Cricetulus griseus: one gene and its partners. The protein of the gene in region 1 purifies or fractionates together with the protein of each later gene. This does not show direct contact. Links are inferred from orthologs where the notes say so. Each region holds a gene or a part of one and is shown in the gene's direction. Other genes may lie near its edges. The genes, in order: Cep290, Cep76, Pnma2, Cep97, Ccp110 and Iqcb1.

Region 1 (4,056 bases):
CCTATTTCACAAATACCAGTTTCTAGAATGGCTGTGGAAAGAAAACAGTGTTTAGCTTCTCCAATCTCTTAGATGGAGAACAAGGACAATGTAAGCACTCATTTTGCTATACCTCTTATCAAGAATAATCCAGAAATTGAACAGTATTTGGAAAAAAACAAACATGGTCATCAGTCCTACAAATCTGATTAATGTCTTGAATATTTGTTCCAAATACCATTTTTTACTGAGCTATTTCTTGTTTTTCTCAACCACACGTTTTGTACAGAAATTTTTTCAAAAGCAAATTTTAAGTGTCTACAGTTTTTCTTTGAATTACTGCCTGTGTGCGCGCCTGTGTAAACGAGACACACTGTTTTAAATAGCCTACACCTTCCTAAGTTACCTGTTGGTGTACAACAGCTGTGGAGTGGGCAAAAGTTGCCCAAGCGAGAAAGCGCTTTCGCCTAAGAGTCCCCCCACTGGTACCCAGCAAATGACAGCAGAATGCCTGAACTTGACGTGGACCCCCGCCACCCCCCCCCCCCAACTGCAGGGCTCCCTTTCTCCGGCCTTCACTCCACACTTCACAACCTAATTAAGGGCTACAATCCTCAAGCTGCTGCACGGGGCGGGCGGGCCGAGAGCCTGCTCCCCTGTCCCCCCCCCGCCCCCCGCGATGCTCCCCGCACCCCTGACCGTGAGCTGGGGGTGGGGGGGCCCAGCTCCACTTCCCCGAAGCACAGGTTAGATCCCAGGGAAACAGGAAACTTTTGTTTCTACTTCCTTCTCGCGGAAGTCACTCACTGGGAACCCCCAGCACACACCTGAGCGGAGGGCGGATCCCGCCGGCCCTGCAGCCCCCCCCAAGCCAGAGCGTCCCCAAAGCCCCAGTGCTCCCTGGATCTCCTCCCGGCCGCTGACCCCGACCTCACCTGAAGGCGGGTCAGCCGGGCGATGGTTCAGGGAAGCTTCCGGAACGGTGGACCGGAGAGGGACTCCGCGGAAAACACTGTCATAGTCCTCACGCCAGCGCCCCCAGGGCGGCCGCGCCTCAGCCGCCGCCGCCGCGCCTCCCGCCTCCCAAGCCTTCCCCAGCTTCTCCGCGGCGGCCGCAGTTTCCCGCGTTGCACGCCGGGAACTCGCTGCTCTCTTTTTCTCTCTCTCTCTCTCCCCCCCCCACACGAAGACTTCTAGTCCCAGAATGCACACCCGCACTGCCGAAGTGCACTCTGGGATGTAGAGTCGTCCGCATGACTTTGCCCTCATCCAGAATAAGGCCAGAATAAGGGGGAAGTGCAGCCGTAAAGCCTTTATCGTCGTGAAATGTAGTCGCCCGCAGTATCCGGGCCCTAGTTCCGGCCTTGGCTGGGCGGGGGAGTGGTGTCGCCTAGCAGCGGCCACCGCTTTGGCTTGGGCAGGAGGAAGAGTTGGCGGGAGCGGGAGTGCGCGAGGACTGCTCTTGGAAGAGACGCCCCGGCGGCGGCCGAAACCGCGGTGGTGGTCGCTGTAGATGAGCGACTGCCGCAGGTTGCAAGGTTCGGTTTAGGTGGGTGGATTCCCGGTGAGCCCGCAGCAGCTTAGTGTCTTTCACAGGTTCCTAATCCTCGGGGACAGTGTGCAGTCTGCCTACCCGACCCTTCTGTTCTCCTGTCCGCAGTTCCCAGCCTTTTGATTCCGCTTGCTTCCTCGCGCACTTCGTCCAGTTAAGTCTTTATTTGTACACTTAAAAAAATAAAATTAAATTTCTCTCGCCCCTTCTCAGAATCGGAGGACGTTTTCAAACTTCCAAACATCCTGGGAGTTGGTATCATCGTTGATGGTAGGGAGCTTGGAAGAGGAGACTCGGGATCTCAGGACTTCGTTTTAGCAAACAAGTAATAATTTAACGTGTACATTATCGGATAATCTGTGCCGGGTGGATTGACTCTCATCAAGGCTGTTTGCCCATGCATCTGTTTTGCGGTTCAGGAGCCATAGCTTTTTGCCAATACCCAGAGAGTTTGAATGATAATGTAAACACTGCAATGCCATTTTCCTTGGAAATGCTAAAACCCACCTGTCACCTTGTAGGAGCTGAAAAACAGTGAAAGAATTCAAGATGCCACCTAGCATAAACTGGAAAGAATTAATCAAAGTTGATCCAGATGACCTTCCACGCCAAGAAGAGCTGGCAGATAATTTATTGATTTCCTTATCCAAGGTGCTTTAATGAATAATTTGTACATAGACACTTACAATGCGATAAAGTGAAATTGCTTCCTACAACTACAGGGTATGAAATAATCCATTTTTTGTTTCCTTAGGTGGAAGTAAATGAACTAAAAGATGAAGATCAAGAAAACGTGGTACATCTATTCAGAATTACTCAGTCACTGATGAAGGTTTGTATGCTGGAGATATTTAACAGTATAGGAAATGTAAGAATGTATTTCTATGTAAGCTAATCTTTATGGAAATATTTGGAATGCCTGTGTCACCCCTCAAAAATGAGTTAAGTGTAGATTTAAAGGCTGTGGGTTGTAATATGTGTAGCAAATATAGTTACTATTCTAAAAATTCTTGGAGAGTGTATAGGGGAAAATGAGTGCTTTTTTAAAAGTAACAAATATAAACAGAGGTTCAAGTAAAAATGCACAATGTCTCCTCTAGAAGGTAATGGTGAAATGGAAAGAAGATTCTAAATTCATCACCAATGAATAATGAGAAAGGATATGTACTTGCTCTTTACATTAGGGTAAGTGCATGCAGCAAATCTGTTGCAGGCTGTGGACAAACAGATATTGGGTTGGTAATTTGGGATATACTATCTGAGGGTTTGAGGCTGTATTTTTTGTTATTAGCAGTTTAGGATCAAATAAAGGTTTTGAATCATAATTGACAGATACAGAAATGTGCTTAAGAAGGCAAAATTAGATGTGTTACAGATGTGTACAGATTGAAGGGGATTGGAGCTGAGAGGCTCCAGTTGTAACAAGGACTTAACAAATAAAATTATGTACCAGAATAATAACAATTGAAATAGGTAAAAAATAATGAAAAACATTTAAAATAGTGGTTATAAAACCTAAAGGAAAAATCAGAGATGATTCAAATTGCTATTCCAGAATTTATAGGTTAAGTATTTATTCTGCAAATATTCACTGAGTGTCTCTGTGCTAGCTGTTGTACACACTAAAGACTGATATAGCAAATGAAACAAAATTTGCATTTTCACTGTTTATATTACAGTGTAAGTAATACAGATTTCCTCTCTCATTTTCATATTTAGATGAAAGCCCAAGAAGTAGAGCTAGCTTTGGAAGAAGTTGAAAAGGCTGGAGAAGAACAAGCAAAATTTGGTACATGTCTTGTAAAAAAAAAAAAAAAAAAAACTGTTGTGATTCTATTATTTATTAGTCAGTACAAAATTAATTTATCATATTCTATGAAATACATACTCAATTCATGTTGAAAGATGCTTCGTCCTTGCACCGTTTCAGGGACTGACCCGACTAATGTGGCAAGAGGGTGAAGACAGCACAAAGACACAAAGAAAAGTTGGGTTCGGGTGGACTAGGCTCTCTGATGGAGAATCTGCAGCACCCCAGAAGCTCAGTGTTGTTATTATGTACACTTGAAGAGAGGCGGGGTTGTTGCCTATAGCTGAACATGAAGTCAGGTGACACCTACAGATAAGTTAGGAGGTGGGGTTTCTGTACACAGTTGAACAAGGAGGCAGATCGAGCTAATCTCAGTAGGAGCAGACTGTAGGGAAGCCTGAGCATCAGGGGGAAGAAAGGAGTAGATTCTGCCATGAGCATCAGGGGAGATGAAAGCTGTGGTTGACATTTTCTGCACACACTGTCAACATCCACATTCAGACATGGGAAGGCTCTGCCATCTGCCATAGTTCTGAGGCTTGGGAGTTCCTGACATGGCTTTGCCCAGACTCAAGACTTCACTCACTCAGGTCAAGATATTTCTAGAATGCCTGTTCCCTGGACTTGATATGTTGTACTATTTTATTGACATCCACTTAAAATCTGATTACAGGAAATTTAACAATTGAAACATTTGTATTTTTTTAATAGAAAA
Region 2 (3,500 bases), on another chromosome or scaffold:
GCAGAGAAAGAACGATTATTTCTGGTCTATGCTAAGCAGTGGTGGAGAGAGTATTTGCAAATTCGACCCTCACACAACTCACGGCTGGTAAAGATTTTTGCACAGGTTTGTGTATTATGTTAGAAAAGCTTCAACCCTATATTTACACTGTAGTACTGTAAATACTTTTCATTTGAAAAATATTTTCATTTCACAAATGAATGTTTATTTCTAAAATAGTTATCTTTTATTGGCTAGGTCAATGGCATAATACAATCTTTGTTAGTTTGGAATATACTTTTTTATGATACTTAAAATTGATTAAACATTTGGATACTTTATGGCTTATATGCAAATTGAACCCTGGACATACAGTGTGTCTGTTATTTTTTACAAAAAAAAGGTGGAAAAACAGTATTGTGCCATTGAGATGTCTCAGAGTGAAACATTGGCTGTGTAAACTCACAACCTGAGTTCAATCCCTGGAACTCATCCGAAGGTAGAAGGAGAGAACCAACTCCACAAAGCTGTTCTCTGACCTTCACAGATGTGCTGGGCCACATGGTCACAGACACATCATATAGACACAGTGGTAAAAATAATATAAAATATTTTTACAACATGTGCATTAATTGTGTAAAAACCAGTATTTCTAAACCAGTGACCAGGGATGTTTAACTGCACAATTTCAGCTACAGATGCACCTTGACTCAAGATGCAGTCTTATGTTTATGAACATGTCGTTAGGTTGAAAATGCCATTTTAATACTGCTGACCTGCCCTGTTAAGGCTTAGCAACATAATACACTAAGGGATATCAGTTGTTTACCTTTTCAGTCAGGTGACACAGTAGAGCTGTGGTTGCTCAGCAGCAAGAAATACTACATGCTACATATTACTAGTCTAGAGATCAAAATTTAAAGTATAGTTTCTACTTAGTATATAGGTATAGATTCTGAGGAATAGATCAAATAGTTTATATATGTTCAGTTTCTGTACAGTGTTAGATTATGACATAAGTGTCTCAGATGTATGCATTCGTGTGTGTGTGTATATATCTACATTCCCTAATCATTGGGACAAACTACAGGTGGCTTCATTTCTAGATAGGAAGCTAGGGAATAAGAGTCCTAATTTAGGACTCTTCCTATCTAGAAATAAAGCCAAAGCTACACAAAGAAACCCTGTCTCAAAAAACAAAACAAACAAAAAATTTCTTTTGTCTAGATATAAAGTTCTGTGTGGTAATATGGAAGATTACTTTGGTTTAGATTTAGATGCTCTGCCCTTCCCTTGTCTATCTGCTAACCCTTTTTCAGAGCAGCTCTTAACTCCCACAAGCTTTGGAGTCAGACAGCTTAGACTTTAAAAATCCTGGCTCTAGTGTATGCCTTTGATCCCAGTACTCAGGAGACAGAGGCAGGTGATCTATGAGTTTGACGTCAGCCTGGTCTACAGAGTGATTCCAGAACAGCCAGGGCTATACTGATAAACCGTGTCTTGAGAAACAAAAGAAAACAAAATCTGTCTCCATTATATAACTGCTATAGTTTATTTCATTTATGAAATGAGAATAAAATAGGCCTTATGAGAACTTAAAAGATGTTAGTCAGCCCTTAGTAGCCTAGTGCTAGATGCACACTCAATAAATGTCGTCCAGAATTATCTACAGAATAATAGATGTGACACTTGGGATGATTAGCTTGTTGTTGCAAATAATGTTTTCCCCTTCTTCCTCCAGGATGAGAACGGGATAAATAGACCAGTCTGTTCCTATGTTAAACCTCTTCGAGCTGGACGGCTTCTGGATACTCCGAGGCAAGCAGCACGATTTGTTAACGTCCTGGGTTACGAACGAGCCCCTGTTATTGGAGGAGGTGGCAAACAGGAGCAGTGGTGCACTCTGCTGGCTTTTCTCTGTAGAAACAAGGTATCAAATAGACATAACTAATAGCAGTATTCATTATCATAAGTTTTTTTAATTTATAGCATACTTATAAGAGAATTTCCTTGAAAATGTATGTATTATCAATCTGAACAAGACAAATCTTACTATTATCTGTAACATTACATATCAGCACTTAACACTTACCATCTTTATTTTTGTAATTTCTTATCTAATAGAATGTTATTCTGATAGAAACAAACTCATAGAGCTGAATATGTTGTCTCATGTAACCACAACACTTGGGAGGTTGGGGCAAAAGATCATGGATTTCAAGGCTAGTCTGGATACAGAAAGCTCCAGGCCAGTCTGTGCTGTATAGCAAGATCTTGTCTCAAAAACAGAACATCTGGATGTGGTAGTGCACAAAGGCAGGTGGTTCTCTGTGACTGTGAGACCGGTATAGCGAACATAGCAAGCTCCAGGTCAAGCCAAGGCTACATAGTGTGACTGTATCTCAAAACAAACAAACAAAAAACCCACCAAAAATCTTAGGTGGATTGTGGTGTGCAGGTCTTTAATCCCAGCACTTGGGAGGCAGAATCAGGCAGATCTCTTGTGAGTTCTTGGTCAGCTTGGACTACAGAATGAGTTCCAAAACAGCCAGGGCTACACAGAGAAACCCTATCTCAAAAAAAAAAAAAAAAAAAAAAAAAAAAAAACCAAAACAACAACAAACAAAAGAACAAAAATTTATAAACAGAATAATTATGAGAATAATTATTGGATTTCATGATAATCATTTTTCTTTAGTTTTAAACAGAATTTAATAACTTCTATAAGTTTGATATTAAACTTTATGAGAAAATTGTATTTTATTTTATGTACATTGGTGTTTTGAGTACATGTTTTTCTGTTCATGACATGTATGCAGTACTTACAGATGCCAGAAGAGGGTACCAAATCCCCTGGAAGTGAAGTTGGGATTGTGAGCCACCTTGTTGGTGCTGGGAAACCCAGGTCCTCTGGAATGGCAGCCAATGCTCTTAACTGCTGCACTATCTCTCCAGCTCCTGATATTAAACTTTTAATGATTTCAATAATTTGACTTATATAGGATGATCCTAATCTTCTAAACTCTAAAAATGTTGCTAGTATAGTGAGCAAGTAAGACTGTTTTTAACATTTATTGTCAGTGAAACTGGAAAAGACAAGTTTCTTTAATCTGCTGCTGTTTTGTAGTAATTGTGTTCATGGTTATGTAAATAGAGTATATAGTCACAAAGGACAGTTCATGTAACAGCAGAAACATTTGAATGACAGGTTGATTTATCAATTGGAAAGGTTAGTTTTTTGTTTTTGTTTTTTATTTTGTGATGTTTTTGAGACAGGGTTTCTCTGTCTAGTCTTGGCTGGCCTGGAACTTACTCTGTAGACCAGGCTGGCCTCAAACTCACAAGAGATCCACCTGCTTCTGTCCCTGAGTACTGGCATTAAAGGCATTCACCTTACTGCCAAACACCCAAAACAAACTCAGCCAACGAATGCTTTCTACACACCTTATTTCTAAAGGTTTCCAAATTTAGTATGTATCCAAAAGAAAAAAAAAATTAAATTGCAACTCATAAAAAACTTC
Region 3 (3,068 bases), on another chromosome or scaffold:
GGTTGATAACTTAGCCGTGTAACACTCAAAGACAGCAAAGGAGGACTGATTCCTAACTTCACGGTGTGCTTGTTTTTCTGAGATTCAATTTTTCTTCATTATACCCATTAAAAATTATTTTGAAAGGTCTGAGTGATTCTACTTAGGTTTTTTTTATATATATCTTTTTCTTCTTTTGAGACGAGATTTCTTGGGGGTAGCCCAGATTGAGTTCAAACTTGGCACCCTCCTGCCTTATCTTCACAACAGTTGAGAGTGGCACCACACACAGTGCAGTTGTATTTGTTTTTAAGTATGATTCTCATGTAGCCCAGGCTGACCTCAAAGTCCCTATGAGGTCAAGAATGATCTTAAATTCCTGATCCTCCTGCCTCCACCTCCCAAGTGCTGGGAATACAGGCATGTACCACCATGCCCAGTTTATGTGGTGCTGGAAATTGAACTCCAGGCTTTGTTCACGTATGGTAGGCAAGCACTCTACAGACTGAGGAGTATACCCAGAACTAGGAGGTGTTTTTATTCAAAGTGCAGCAACTATCTTATTTAGGATGTTCTACTAAATTGTGCAGGACTGTCACTTTTTTCCCATCCTTTACTGAACCTTTATATTTTTAATAAGTGCATTCATCTTTATTACTAGATTTTAGGCCTAAAAACACATTGTTCATGTTTGTGTGTAACAGGACAGCTTGATTTGGATGAAGTTCAGACACACCCATACTATTGTACAGAGGTGGGAGACATCTTCCAGAGCTGGAAGCTGAATACATGCTCCTTGATTCTTGAGGAACATTCCGGAACACATAAACAGGTATTTAACTATGTCTCCTAATTTCATCTTTCGAATGGTGAAGGTCTTGAATCCCACCCACTGATGGGGCTTTGGGGTGGAGAGAAGGGGTTTAAGCTGCTCCCCTAGCCCTGAGTACAGTGAGCAAAGAAGGGGGTCCAACAGAGTGGGGTGGACAAAGGTGCAGTGGGAGTCATAGCCCTTGGTCCACCCCTAGCTCCATTCCAAACCACAGTGTGGGTGTGTCCTGGGAAGTAGAGGTCTGCGTAGTAAAAACAAACCTCTGTTTCCGTAGGCGTCCTCACCATCTCGCTGTGTGACGACTTTCCAGAGTTTTGGGTGCTAGAGTGAAAACCACCTCCTCATTGACTGTAGAGACAAAGTGACAGAAACCGGGAGAGGCTGGGTCGAGCAGTCATTCCAGGTGCTTCACAGTGACAAGAGTCAGCACCACACAGCTGCCTGAGGCTCTCAGAAACGGCAGCAAACCCACTGCAGAGCCACGGGGCTGGTAACTGCAGCCTACCCTGTCCACCCAGCAACCTTGCCGTGGGTCCGAAGACACACAGGAAGTGCCTGGTTCTTGACACTGAGTAAAAGGACAGAGCGTTGGTCCGCAAGGCTCTGAGCTACTTGGGAAGTGAGCCAGGCAGGCACTGTGTGCAGAAGCATACCCTAGGGCGATGGCAGTGGCACTGTTGGAGGAGTGGTGCAAGATAATGAGTGTGAGCGATCAGAAGTCACTGATGGTGACTGGCATACCAGCCGACTGTGGTGAGCCTGAGATCCAGGCAGTCCTTCAGGAGGCGCTCAAGTGTGTGGGCAACTACCGCCTGCTAGGCAAGATATTCCAGAAGCAAGACAACACGAATGCTGTCTTACTAGAACTCGTGGAGGACACAGATATGTCTGTGGTCCCCAGTGAGGTGCAGGGGAAAGGAGGTGTCTGGAAAGTGATCTTTAAGACCCCTAACCAGGACAGTGAGTTTCTCCAGAGATTGAACCTTTTTCTAGAAAAAGAAGGCCAGACCATTGCAGGGATGTTCCGAGCCCTGAAGCAGGAGGGAGTGTCTCCAGCTACCCCAACCTGCACATCCCCTGAGTTACTGGCCCACTTGGTGGGGCAGGCAATGGCTCAAGCTCCAAGGCCTCTGCAGCCTGTGAGGTACTGTAAGTTGCGAGTATTCTCTGGGAACACAGTACCTGCCCCGGAGGAGGAGTCCTTCGAGATCTGGTTGGAACAGGCTACTGAGATAGCCAAAGAGTGGCCCATCCCAGAGGCAGAAAAGAAAAAGTGGATGATGGAGAGCCTCCGCGGCCCTGCCCTGGACCTCATGCACATCGTACAGGGAGACAACCCATCCATCAGTGTGGAAGAGTGTCTGGAAGCCTTTAAGCAGGTGTTTGGGAGCCTGGAGAGCCGTAGGAGCTCGCAGGTAAGATACCTAAAGACCTATCAGCAAGAAGGGGAGAAAATCTCAGCCTACGTGCTCCGGCTGGAAACTCTGCTCCGAAGAGCCGTGGAAAAACGGGCTATTCCCCGAAACATTGCTGACCAGGTACGCCTGGAGCAGGTCATGGCCGGGGCCAACCTCACCAATGTTCTATGGTGCCGGTTACGGGAGCTGAAGGATCAGGGCCCACTACCCACCTTTTTGGAGCTGATGAAGGTGATACGGGAGGAAGAAGAAGAAGAGGCCTACTTTGAACATGAGAGCAGGGAGGAGCCAGGGGAACGAGAGGGCTATGGCCGCTGGGACAATTCGAGGAACAACTGAGAGACACCCCTACTCCTGTCACCCCCTGGTGAGCATAGGGACAGTGCTTGATGAGGCTAATCCTATTACAGTGGAATTTTTCTCTAATACACAGGATTGAAGTCAAGCATTAGAACCAGATATTTTCTTTTTTCTTTTGTTTTGACAGGGTTTCAACTTATAGCCCAGGCTGGCCTTGACTTGCACTTTTCCTGCCTCAGGACTCCCAAGTTGAGTTCTGGGATTAGAGGAGTATACCATCACTAGCACCCCATCTCAACTTTTCTTTCTGAGAAAAAAAAAAATGCCTAGACTCTGAGTAGAGTGGTTTGGTGGACTCTTAAGCAGAGTGTAACTGAATACAAGACTAAAGGAACCCTAACATTCCAAACTAACCAAAACGTAAGAGTTAATCCAGTTGGGTAGGTCCATCACCTGGCTAATGGACTGCCCACCAGGAAGGCAGATTCATCTAACTCCATGCTAAAGACAGGGGAGGAATAATTATCCCCTTAATGAGA
Region 4 (4,256 bases), on another chromosome or scaffold:
GAAGTCCTGTCAGAGCTGCCACATGATTTTGCTAGAGATTAAAAGAAAATCTGGGGCTGGAGAGATGGCTCAGCAGTTAAGAGCATTGACTGTTCTTCCAGAGGACCCGAGTTCAACTCTCAGCACCCACATGGCAGCTCACAACTGTCTGTAACTCCAAGATCAGACAAAACTGTAGGCAAAACAACAATGCACATAAAAAAATAAATTACTTAAAAAACAAGAAAATCTGTAGGGATAGAGAGATGACTTGGTGATTAAGATTACTTGCTCTTGAAGAGGATTGGGTTTGGGTTCCCAGCACCCACATGGTAGGTAGCTCACAGCTGCCTGAGATGCCAATTCATTTTTGAGCTAGAGTTTCTCTGTCATGTAGCTCTGGCTGCCCTGAAACTCACCAAGTAGATCAAGCTGACCTTCAACTCACAGATTTGCCTGCCCCTGTCGCCCTCCCCCTCGCCTGCCAGTGCTGGGATGAAAGGTTTGGGCTACCATGCCTGGCTTGCTTTGTATTTATACATGTAAAGTAATAAGACTGTTTTCCAAGAAAAGGGTCTCTTGGTTAAAAAGAAGGGGAATCCTTATTCTTTCTTCAGAATTAAATTATCTTTAGACTGAACCAATGGGAAACAGAAAAGTTCTTTAAGGGCAATGATGTCAACGAAAAAGGAATACAGGGAAGAGAAAATGCTTTTAGAATCATGAACCAGAAGTGCTGGAAGCCTGAGTTACTGGATTTTCCTCAACAGAAATGCCCAGACTTTGTACAGTGCCCTTTTGGCAAGCCTGGCAGTCAGTGTGTAGACAAGCTGGTGAAAAAAGGGAGAGCTCCCTTTGAGCTACGGAGCTACCTTTTAAATCCTAGCTTAACTTTCCCAAATATTGTAATTTCCACTACCTATCATACTGAGTTCATAGTTAAATCAAAACAGGATAAGCTTGTGCCCTTCTAACTGGGCAAAGTAAGTATTCTTAACTTTGGAAGCTATTTTAGACTACTTTTGAACACTCAAGAAAAAGTTCTGTGCACTTACGTATCAAATATAGTCCTTAGTCAAAAGCTCTGTTGAATGTGTAACAACTGTTTCTGAAGCTTTAAAACCATTTAGTTAGGTGAAATTTCAAATACAATGTGTCCATTTTGACTGTCTCAAAATATTTAGTCATTCCTATAGCGAATCTCAAATCTTTTAAACTTAACTCAGAATTGCCAAAATGGGTAGCTGTCATAGAGACTTCTAGCAAAGAGCTCTCAAATTGTTTACTTTAAATAACATCCTTATAATGTGCCAGGTGGTAAAAGTGTCAGATTTCTCAAACACCTGGCCCTGGAGTGAAAAGATTCATCTAACAATGCAGCTTGCTCACCTATCAAGGTCTCCTAAGCTCTTTTTTTTTTTTTTCTAAACTACACTCACTTTCTAGCCTGTGATTCCCATCAGGCAGCCGATTGGGCCGACTGAGTGCTGTGCATCCTGGGAGTTGTAGTTTGCAGTTTCCCACCTCTGACTACATAGTCTACAGAACGGCTGAGGACGGTTGCTGGTGTCATTAGCAAGCAGCAACTATGGCGGTAGCGCGAGCCGACGGGGCTCTGGCTCCGGGAGAAGGTAGGACGATTCCCATCCCTGAACTCCAAAGTTTACTTCACTAAATCATATTAAATAGTTGCTTAGTGTAAAGAGGAAGCCTGGGTTTCGAGGTGCAGTTTTGGACCAGTTCTTTTGATACGGGGCTGTAGGCAGCGCGGAGGCGCATTACCTACTGGGAGTTGTAGTCCCGCTCTCAGGTCCGGTTTGGCAGCATGCGGTGAAGGCGGCTGGATGAGGGACTTCAGCCCCCAGGAGCCTTCGCGGTGCCCGGCGCCCCCGTCCCGCGCTCTCCCTAGTCTGACTGGGCAGTGGGCTCCGGACTGCGGCGACCTTTCTGGGACGTTTACTTTGAGTTCCGAGTGCCCACGGGAAATTGGCAGAGTCTCTTTCTTTCCTCTGTCCCCTCCCCCATCGGTTCCGAGAACGTTCAGGAAGCATCTTATCTGATACCACCGCATCACAGTCTGCCTGAACTCTTCCTTGGAAGTGGCCAGTACCCGTGGTAGAATCTGGGGGTGACCGGGACACCCGTTGCTCCCCCGTCATTCTGCAGGCCGGGTCCCGGGGTCGAGTTTGGTCTTTGTTTAGCAGAGCGCAGGCGAGGGGTGCGCCTGTGGCTGGAAGATGCCTCCGTGGGGCGCCGGACCTGAGCTTTTGTTTTGGTTACACTCTGAGGCGTGGTAGCCGCTGGCTGGATTGGGGCAGACAGGGATAGAGTCGGGGCTCATAACCTGGGGACCCTGAATTTTTGAGGGGAGGAGTTCGGCTAAAAGATGTGTCGACCTTTCGGAACTGTGTGCAAACGCTGGGTGCGCTTTTCTGCGACAGCATAGTTTTCATCTTTCAAGAAGCGGCTCACGACATCTCCCGTGCTAAGAAAACTGAAAAAAACTTTGAAACCTTCTAGAAGAGAGTTCCGAAAAATTTATTTCCCAGGGTATCCTAGTCTGATGGTAAATTTGAAATTGGCAGTTACTCTGGCCCCGCCCACTATGGTCGCTGCCTTTCCTAAAACTCTCTAGCCCTCCAAGACAACAGACGAGAGCAGCCTCTAGTATTTACAGAGCAATTTTTTTTTACAGCATTTTTAAAAATTTGAATTAGAAACAAGATTGTTTTACATGTCAATCCCAGTTCCCTCTCCCTCCCCTCCTCCCCTACCACCCCTCCCCCAACTGAAACCCTACCTATCACATATCCTTTCTGCTCCCCAGGGAGGGTGAGGCCTTCCATAGGGTGTCACCAGAGTCTATCATATCCTTTGGGTTAGGGCCCTAGGCCCATCCCCGTGTGTCTTGGCTCAGGGAGTATCCCTCTATGTGGAATGGGCTCCCAAAGTCCATTCTTATGCTAGGGATAAGTACTGATCTACTACAGGAGGTCCCGTAGATTTCTGAGGTCTCCTCACTGAAACCCACTATCCCAGCTATCAGACTGGGGACCAAGAGCTCCCTGATGTTCAGGTCAGCTGTTTCTGTGGGTTTCACAAGCCTGGTCTGGACCCCTGTGCTCATCACAGAGCCACTTTTTAAAAGCCAGATGATATTTTGAGCACTTTTCTTATATTATCTCAAGTTTTCATGTAGAAAATATTTATATTGTATTCTCACATTTTTTTCCCTCAAGACAGGATCTCATTATGTAGTTGTGACTGGCCTAAAACTCACAGAAATCCTCCTGCCTTTGCCTCCCCAGTGCTAAAATTAAAGATGTGTATTACCACAAGTGGCTCAGCCTCATCCCCTGTCCCCTTTTATGTTTGAGACGATTTCTTTGTGTAGTCCCTGACTATCCTGGAACTGGATCTGTAGACTAGACTAGCTTCGAACTCACAGAGATGATTCTGCCTCTTGGAGTGCTGAGATTAAAGCCCTGCGCCACCACTGTATGACTTTTTTCTTTTTTCTTTTTTTTTTTTTTCAAGACAGGATCTCTCTGGCTGTCCTGGAACTCACTATATAGACCAGGTTTCTCTGCTTCCCAAGTGCTGAATTAAAGGCATGCACCACTATGGCTGGTTAATTGTCATCCACAATTCATAGAGTAGGAAAGTTAACTCAGCGATTTGCACCTATAGAGGAAAGACATTGGAGGACACAGTGAGGAGGTAGCCAGCCTCTAGGAGAAAGGGTCTCAGTTACCAAACTTGGCAACACCTTAATTTGGGGAGCTTTCCAACTGAAAAAATGAAGGAGAAAAAGAGAAGGAAACTTGTCCATAGTGGTTAACCACAGCTATAGTTGGAATTCATGCTGCTGTGCTTTATTGAGCATTGCCTGCCAGGTCTGAGGCTGTGTGTGAATTGTTTGGCTTCACACCAACCTTGAGAAATCAGAGAATCATTTTATTCTATAGTTTAGTTAACTATACTTTGATCTTCAAAATATTCAGAAGTGACTGGGGAGATAGTTTAGTTGGTGTAGTCCTTGCTGTGCGAGTGTGTGGACCCAGGTTCAATCCTCCAAACCCAAGGGAACTTTTGGCAGCAAGAGCTTGTAATCTTAGTCCGTGCTGAGAAAAAGATGGATACAGGCAGATCCTTGGGGCTTGCTGGCCAACCAGCCTACCCTATTTGATGAGTTCCAGGCCAGCAAGAGACCCTGCCTCAAAGTGAGGGCCACAGAGATGGCTCAGTGGGTTATAGTACTTGCTATGAAAGCACTA
Region 5 (3,500 bases), on another chromosome or scaffold:
GCACTGGAGTTGCAGGACACATGATTATACCTGGCTTTTTTCATGGAAGCAGGAGCTTTGAACTCAGATCTTATCCTTGTATAGGACTTGTATCCTCTGAGCCATCTCACAGTCCCTTCTGCATTCCTGAATTTGCTATTGTGATTATTTGCATAAAATGTACATAAGTTTAGTTCCACCAATACCCTGCCATGAAGATGGGAGGGGCTTGTGGGGCTCTGCTCCTCCTTGAAGATTTGTACAATTAATGGTTGGTGGAGAGGGAGAGGCATTCTTCTCCTGGTGCAGCCACTGGTAGGGTGCCCATGCTCTTTTAAGCAGCCCTAATGAACTCCTTGGGCCACCAAAACAACAAGGCATGAAAGTAGGAGAGGTGCTAATGAGGAAAGGGAGAGGGGATTGGTAGGAGGAGATGGGCCACCAGAGGGTGACAGGGGTGTGATAAGAGAAATGTTTGGACATGTATGAAAGTGTTATATTGAAACCCCAAATATGTATAATTAATATATTTAAGATGGCTCAGTGGGCAAAGGTATCTGCCACCAAGACTGTTCCCTAACCTATGCACATGCTCTGTCGTACACATTAAAAAACAAAACAAAAATACCCCAAACCACTTTTTGTTATGCTTTTTGAGACAGGCTTTCTTTATGTAGCGCTGGCTGTCCTGGAATTCACTTTGTAGACCATGCTGGCCTTGAACTCAGACATTCCCCTGCCTCTGCTTCCTGAGTGCTGAGATTAAAAGCATGCAGCACCACTGCCAAGCACTACTTTTTTTTTTTTTTTTTTTTTAATGAGACTGGAGAGATGGTTCATCAGTTAGGAGCACTGGCTGTTCCTTCAGAAGACCGGGATTAAGTTCCCAGCGTACACCTGGTTGTTCACAACAGCCTTTAACTCCTGTTTCCGGGAAGTTCTGATGCCCTCTTCTGGACATCATGCATATTACACACATGTGCACGTGAAGGCAAAACACTCATGCATATAAAAATAAATCTTTTTTTGTTTTTAATTTTTAGGACAGGGTTTCTCTGTAGCTTTGGAGCCAGTCCTGGACCTCACTCTGTAGACCAGGCTGACCTTGAACTCTTAGAGATCCACCTGCTTCTGCCTCCCCAGTGCTGGGATTAAAGGCATGAACCACCACTGCCCAGCAAAATAAACCTTTTTAAAGAAAGAACAAGAGCATATTGATATAGAAGACTTAGGTTTATGTGGTAAGCTAGTGCAAAGGTAAAACAATTTTAATTATTTCAACTACTTTGAGAACTTTCTCCCAGTTTCACTTGTTCCATTATAGAAAACAAGTCTGAGAGGTGGGAAATGAAAGCCTCCACTTTAAGAGGCCACAGCAGGGTGGGCTGCACCTGGACATGGGGAGCAAAGTGAGTCTGAGCGCTGTACCAGAGGCAGGGCATGTGGATGCATCTGCCAAGAGGCTCATGGAGATGCGTGAGTTAACTAATCTGGGCACTGGATTAGTAGAAGACTCCTGTGGCATCCCTGTGGAGAATAATAGAGGTGGGACCCCCCTGAGGTGTCAGGCCTTTAGAACTGAGGGTAGTCTTAGGCCCTCAGTTGGCATTTCCCAGCTTTTCCCTGTCTTATTACCATCTGGTCCCTTCACCTCTTATGGTCCTGTGCAGTTCACCACACCAGCCTCTGGCACACGGAATACTCACACAGTAAAGGCAGGGCTGGTAGACCTGCCCATAGGGGACCTTCAGACAGAAAACCTTTTTGTGTGATAAACTACAGATACCTTCTGGTTGAGTCATCTTTGTGAATAAGGGTTATCATTTCTTCTGTTGGTGACAACTTGATGCCTCTCAAGAAGGAGTGAGCTGGTATGAACGAGTTTTAGAAAAGGACTTTAATCTTCCACTCCTGAGTGGGTGAGGCCTTCATTCTCTTCTACAAAGTGCTTATTTATTTTTAGAGACAGACTCTCACTCTAGCCCAGGCTGGCCTCAAACTCATGGCAGTCCTCCTGCTTCAACCTCTCAAGTGTTGGATCACAGATGTGTGTCTTAAAGCATGAGCAGTCTTAAAGCAGCACAGGTCATTTCACTCGTCACTGGCATGCACAAACTGCCCAGCAATTGTTTATCTGCCCCATCCCACCCCAGAACCTCACAGCACATCTGCTGTCTAGTCCCAGCTGTGCTGCTCACAGCCAAGATAGCACGCCTCTGCTTGGCTTTGCTAAATGGGAAGTCACCCATGGGTTATAGCTGTAGGGCTGGCCCCATCCATGTTCGTGTGCTTCCTCTTCACATTCCTCCTCATTGATTATCTTCTTTTGCAGCATCTCATATTGCAATGAGTATTGCCTCCAGGCCTGATTTAACACTATGTACAAATCAAATTCAGCAATATGGTCAAGGTCATTGCCACTGCCTTCCTCTTCATCAGCATCAGAATTTATAGATTCTTCAAATCTGACATTCATTGTAACAAACAAATGCTCTCACAGATAGGCTGTTAGGGTGCCTGGATACCACATGTAAATTAATGATGGGTGTTCAAGTGACTGCTAAGATGGTTTAGACCATCTGACTAAGTCAGGTGGTCTTCCCTTATGGAGAGGATGCAGAAGGCTGCCTACAGCATAGCTTCATGTTTGCAGTCTCAGCATTCTGGGCAGGAGAAGCCTTAAAAACCACCACAGGAGGAGGTAGGGAGACAGGGTGGAGTATAGGGGCTGCTTGCTGTGTCATCAGTAATTGTTTTGTGCTCTAAGTAATTTCTGATGGCAAAAGAGAATAAAAGGAAACTACAGCAATTATAAATCTTCCTAGAAAACTGCTTTTGAAGGAGCGTCTCTTTCTTTCAGGACACTATGGAATTCATACGAAGCTTTCAGTCAGAAGCCCCGCTGAAGAGAGGTGTTGTCTCAGCCCAAGATGCTTCCCTTCAGGAACGAGTGTTAGCTCAGGTAGATGCTTCTGTCCTGAAGGGTTCCCAGGACATTGGTCAGCTCCTAACTGGAGATTCAGGATTGGAAATGTACTTCTTCATTTAACCAGGGAAAATGCGTTTTAGTGAAAACTCCTGTTCTCTCTTATTCTAAATGTAAGATGTGCACACAGTATGCATGTACTACTAAATTGTAGTCTCACCTTTTAAATACAGACATGATTTTCTTCTTAGTTGAGAGCTGCCTTGTATGGTATTCATGACATCTTCTTCGTAATGGATGCAGCTGAGAGAATGTCAATCCTCCATCATGATCGAGAGGCCCGTAAAGAGAAACTGCTCCGGCAGATGGTATGTATGCCATGTGGCTTTCTGATGAAGGGGCTTTTATGAGCTCTGGGGAGGGAGGCTCTGTGTCATTCCCAGTATTTCTGAAGCCAGATAATCCCCAGGATTCCTAGCACCACCAAGCTCTGTGGTGAGCCCCATAGGAACTATAGTAAAGAACCCTTTACTGCAGTGGGATTGGATTTGAGGGCTAAGCCTTGACCACTTGACCATTTTGTTCTGGTAGCTCA
Region 6 (3,500 bases), on another chromosome or scaffold:
GAAAATAAAATGGAAAAATAATTAGTGTTTTTTTTTTTTAATTTGAAACACAACCGTGTTCCATGGATCTTATTTGACTCTTTTTTTTTTTTTTTCTTGGTTTTTTCGAGACAGGGTTTCTCTGTGTAGCTTTGGAGCTTATCCTGGCACTCACTCTGGAGACCAGGCTGGCCTCAAACTCACAGAGATCCACCTGCCTCTGCCTCCTGAGTGCTGGGATTAAAGGCATGCGCCATCAATGCCCGGCTTATTTGACTCTTGACTGAAAGAGATTTAAAAATTCATAAAACACTTAAGTGGTTGGAATGGTTGTCTGGTTTCTTGATGAAATTAAGAGGTAATTTTCATTAAATGATATAATGATTATGCATTTTTGTTCATTAGTTCTTTTAGGCTATATATATGCATCTGTATATATTTATGTGTATTTGAAATGTTTATGAATAAAATAATCTGGTGTCTTAGATTTGTTTCAAACTAAAATGGAAGTAGATGGTATAGGTAAAACAAGTTTAGCCATGAATTGATTTTTAAAATTAATTAACTCATGAAGATTTATTACATTATCCTGTCTGCTTTTAAGTATGTTTGAAACTTTTATTGCAAAAATTTAAATAAATTATAGGCCCTTTTGTGAATGTGGTAATGGAGTAGGAATTACTGTACCAAGTACTCATCTACTTTGAAACTAAGGAATTACAAGGCAAACAGTATAAAAATAAGAGGCAGTAACTCCTTTATAGTTTTCAGTGGAGGAAAAGGAAAGTTTATGAACTAGATGCTGTATAATTTTAGTAAATTCCTGGATACTTCTAGAGTTATTAGTAAAATATGGCACACAAATAGAAGATACACTTGTTGTAGTTATTGGGAGCCCATTTCCTATGGAGGGATACTGCTGCAGGCCAGATACATCAAAGATGGCCTAGGCCCTCCCCCAAACAATATGATAGACTTTGAAGGTCCTTGGTGGAGGGCCTCACTATCTCTGGGGAGGAGTGAGGGGGAGTTGAGTGGGGAACATGGGAGGATGGGAGGACGAGGGAATGGGGGGATGCATATGTCAATATGAGTAGTAATTAAATAATTTAAATTAAAATGTAACAATGTAAAATATATAAGTATACTTTTTTCTAAATTGTTAAAAAGTATATATAGTGACTAATTGGACTATAAGTATAAATGAAGAATAGGAGTTGGTGTGAAAAAGAGCAAATCTGATCTTTCAGGAGATAGGAAAGGAAAGAATAAAGATATTTTTAGAAAAGCCAGGGTAGTCTTATCAGGGCAAGCTTGAAACATATCTGATCTCACTTTTAATTATTCTTGTGCTCAGCTGATGTAAGCAACAGAAACTGACATTTCTTGGGAACATAGTCTTTTCTGGTACATTATGCCTTAGTATAGTATGAGAATTATGTATTTCTAGTTTCACAGATGATGAAATGGAGATTGTGGGAGATTGTCTTAGTTAGGATTACTATTGTGCTTATCTGATGAGCAAAAGCAACTTGGGGAGGAAAGGTGTTTATTAGGCTTACACTTCCACATCACTGTTCATCATTGAAGGAAGTCAAGACAGGGACTCAAACAGGGCAGGAACCTGGAGGCAGGAGCCAGTGCAGAGTGCTGCATACTGGTTTGCTCCTTATGCCTTGCTAAATCTGCTTTCTAATAGAAGCCAGAACCACCAGCCCAGGGTTAGCCCCACCCACAATAGGCTGTCTTCCCATATCAATCACTGATTAAGAAAATGCCCTACAGTCTTGCTAACAGCCTGATCTTATGGAGGCATTTTCTCAATTGATGCTCCCTCTCTGACTCTAGCTTGTATCAAGTTGACATAAAATAGCCAGGACAGATGTAGCCAAGTTAGAGGTTAAGCAACTCATGTATGGACTGAGCACAAAATTTTTGTAACTGGCTAATCAGAGCCTGAAAATCAGAAACCTAAAAAAAATATTCGGTGTTTTATTATTTAGTTAATGAAACTCATTGCTAGAAAAAAAGATTCAGATTTAGGAGATGTTATGTTCAACTTAAAAGAAGTAATAACGAATTTTTAGCTTGGTATTTCTAGATGCCCCAATGACTCTAATTTCATAAAAATGGAATGACTCTTAACTTTATGGTCATTTAAAACTGCCTGTATCTATAAAACTATTTTAGGGTTTATAATGCCAAAAGTTTAGCACAAATGAGCATGCTTTGATTTGATTTAAAAAAGACAATCTTATTTAGGTTATTATAGAGTCTTTAACATTTCTTTTTCTCTCTGTTCTTTTAGTACTGCAGAGTGATCATTTCTTACACTTACTGCAAACTGACAATGTTCAAATAGGAGCTACAGTCATGTCTCTGCTACAGAATATACTGCAGATCAACAGGTGACTTAATTTACACAATTTTTAATCAGAAACATTACTAATTTTATTATAATTTGTCAATCTTTTACAGACAATGTGTACATGAAATTTAAGTTCTCTTCTGATTGACTTTTGGAAAAAGTTCATATAAAATACTGCAAGAGGTTAGAAATTTGTTATCAAATTGTTATCTCAGAGGGCTAGAAAATCTCAGGCTTAGAAGAAAGAATTGGAGTGATACCTAAAGAAAAATAGTAGGATCACAGTAAAATTAAACAGGGGAATTAGTCATTATTTCACTCAAGTATGGGTTTATTTATTGGCTACTGTGTGCCACAGTTACTCTGTTTCTCATTATATTTGCAATGCTTATTCAAATATAAATCTTGTCTTCAATGAGTGAATATTGAGACAGACATAGTTATATTTTTACATATTAATTTGCAGTGTTAAATTATCTACAAGTATTAAAAGTGCTTCTTACCCAAACTGAGTGAAAATGCATCCTAAAGAAATTAAAATCTGAGATGAAACTTCAAAATTGTATAGGGAGGATGAAGATAAAGCAGGAGAAAGAAAAAAGTAACAACATATGCAAAAGTCAGAGATAAGAAAGAAATATTATGCTGAGGGTAAAAAGTAGGGATGATTCATCTTGCTGGTATTTAAAGTTCAGTATTAGGTATGGCCAGCAAATTTTGAAGGGATTTACATTATAAAATATTGATATGCTATGTTAAGAAAACAATCATATTCTGTAGGAAATGGGGACCATTGAAGTTTTGGTTTTTTATTTTAAGTAGATGGATATGGTCTGATTACATTTCAGTTTTATTACTCTAGTTACTAATGGAGAGAAGATGAGAACAAAACTCTAATCCAGTGGTTCTCAACTTTCCTAATGCTGCAAGCCTTTAATATAGTTCCACATGTTGTGGTGACCCCCTTACCATACAATTATTTTATTGCTCCTTCATAACTGTAATTTTGCTACTGTTATGAATTGTAATGCAGATATCTGATATGCAGGAGAGCTGATATTCGACCCCTAATTACTGGGTCCAGCTGACGAATCTGTAATTTCTGAGAAGGGGAGTGTTGATTGAGGGAAGAAATAGACAAGAGACAGTAGAT

Evidence for each region.
Region 2: the proteins of Cep290 (region 1) and Cep76 purify together in Homo sapiens (co-immunoprecipitation; 5 studies listed by BioGRID and IntAct, with this or other methods). This does not show direct contact. The link is inferred for Cricetulus griseus from reciprocal best matches to the Homo sapiens genes CEP290 and CEP76.
Region 3: the proteins of Cep290 (region 1) and Pnma2 purify together in Homo sapiens (co-immunoprecipitation; 3 studies listed by BioGRID and IntAct, with this or other methods). This does not show direct contact. The link is inferred for Cricetulus griseus from reciprocal best matches to the Homo sapiens genes CEP290 and PNMA2.
Region 4: the proteins of Cep290 (region 1) and Cep97 purify together in Homo sapiens (co-immunoprecipitation; 4 studies listed by BioGRID and IntAct, with this or other methods). This does not show direct contact. The link is inferred for Cricetulus griseus from reciprocal best matches to the Homo sapiens genes CEP290 and CEP97.
Region 5: the proteins of Cep290 (region 1) and Ccp110 purify together in Homo sapiens (co-immunoprecipitation; 6 studies listed by BioGRID and IntAct, with this or other methods). This does not show direct contact. The link is inferred for Cricetulus griseus from reciprocal best matches to the Homo sapiens genes CEP290 and CCP110.
Region 6: the proteins of Cep290 (region 1) and Iqcb1 purify together in Homo sapiens (co-immunoprecipitation; 8 studies listed by BioGRID and IntAct, counting the BioPlex papers as one, with this or other methods). This does not show direct contact. The link is inferred for Cricetulus griseus from reciprocal best matches to the Homo sapiens genes CEP290 and IQCB1.

The regions. Positions count from the first base shown.
Region 1 is NW_023276806.1:166,062,361-166,066,416, forward strand, and holds the start of Cep290 (centrosomal protein of 290 kDa), read left to right. Parts: upstream 1-1,256; 5' UTR 1,257-1,528; intron 1,529-1,744; exon of another isoform or gene 1,745-1,856; intron 1,857-2,052; 5' UTR 2,053-2,080; coding exon 2,081-2,182; intron 2,183-2,285; coding exon 2,286-2,363; intron 2,364-2,631; exon of another isoform or gene 2,632-2,674; coding exon of another isoform or gene 2,675-2,716; intron 2,717-3,250; coding exon 3,251-3,320; intron 3,321-4,052; coding exon 4,053-4,056. UniProt on the Homo sapiens protein: Involved in early and late steps in cilia formation. Its association with CCP110 is required for inhibition of primary cilia formation by CCP110.
Region 2 is NC_048595.1:171,781,427-171,784,926, forward strand, and holds part of Cep76 (centrosomal protein of 76 kDa), read left to right. Parts: coding exon 1-105; intron 106-1,720; coding exon 1,721-1,909; intron 1,910-3,500. UniProt on the Homo sapiens protein: Centrosomal protein involved in regulation of centriole duplication. Required to limit centriole duplication to once per cell cycle by preventing centriole reduplication.
Region 3 is NW_023276807.1:221,896,187-221,899,254, forward strand, and holds Pnma2 (paraneoplastic antigen Ma2), read left to right. Parts: upstream 1-1,473; coding exon 1,474-2,568; downstream 2,569-3,068.
Region 4 is NC_048597.1:36,122,897-36,127,152, forward strand, and holds the start of Cep97 (centrosomal protein of 97 kDa), read left to right. Parts: upstream 1-1,456; 5' UTR 1,457-1,567; coding exon 1,568-1,610; intron 1,611-1,667; exon of another isoform or gene 1,668-2,545; intron 2,546-4,256. UniProt on the Homo sapiens protein: Acts as a key negative regulator of ciliogenesis in collaboration with CCP110 by capping the mother centriole thereby preventing cilia formation. Required for recruitment of CCP110 to the centrosome.
Region 5 is NC_048596.1:81,879,961-81,883,460, reverse strand, and holds part of Ccp110 (centriolar coiled-coil protein of 110 kDa), read left to right. Parts: intron 1-2,839; coding exon 2,840-2,941; intron 2,942-3,156; coding exon 3,157-3,273; intron 3,274-3,500.
Region 6 is NC_048597.1:53,142,220-53,145,719, reverse strand, and holds part of Iqcb1 (IQ calmodulin-binding motif-containing protein 1), read left to right. Parts: intron 1-2,287; coding exon 2,288-2,387; intron 2,388-3,500. UniProt on the Homo sapiens protein: Involved in ciliogenesis. The function in an early step in cilia formation depends on its association with CEP290/NPHP6.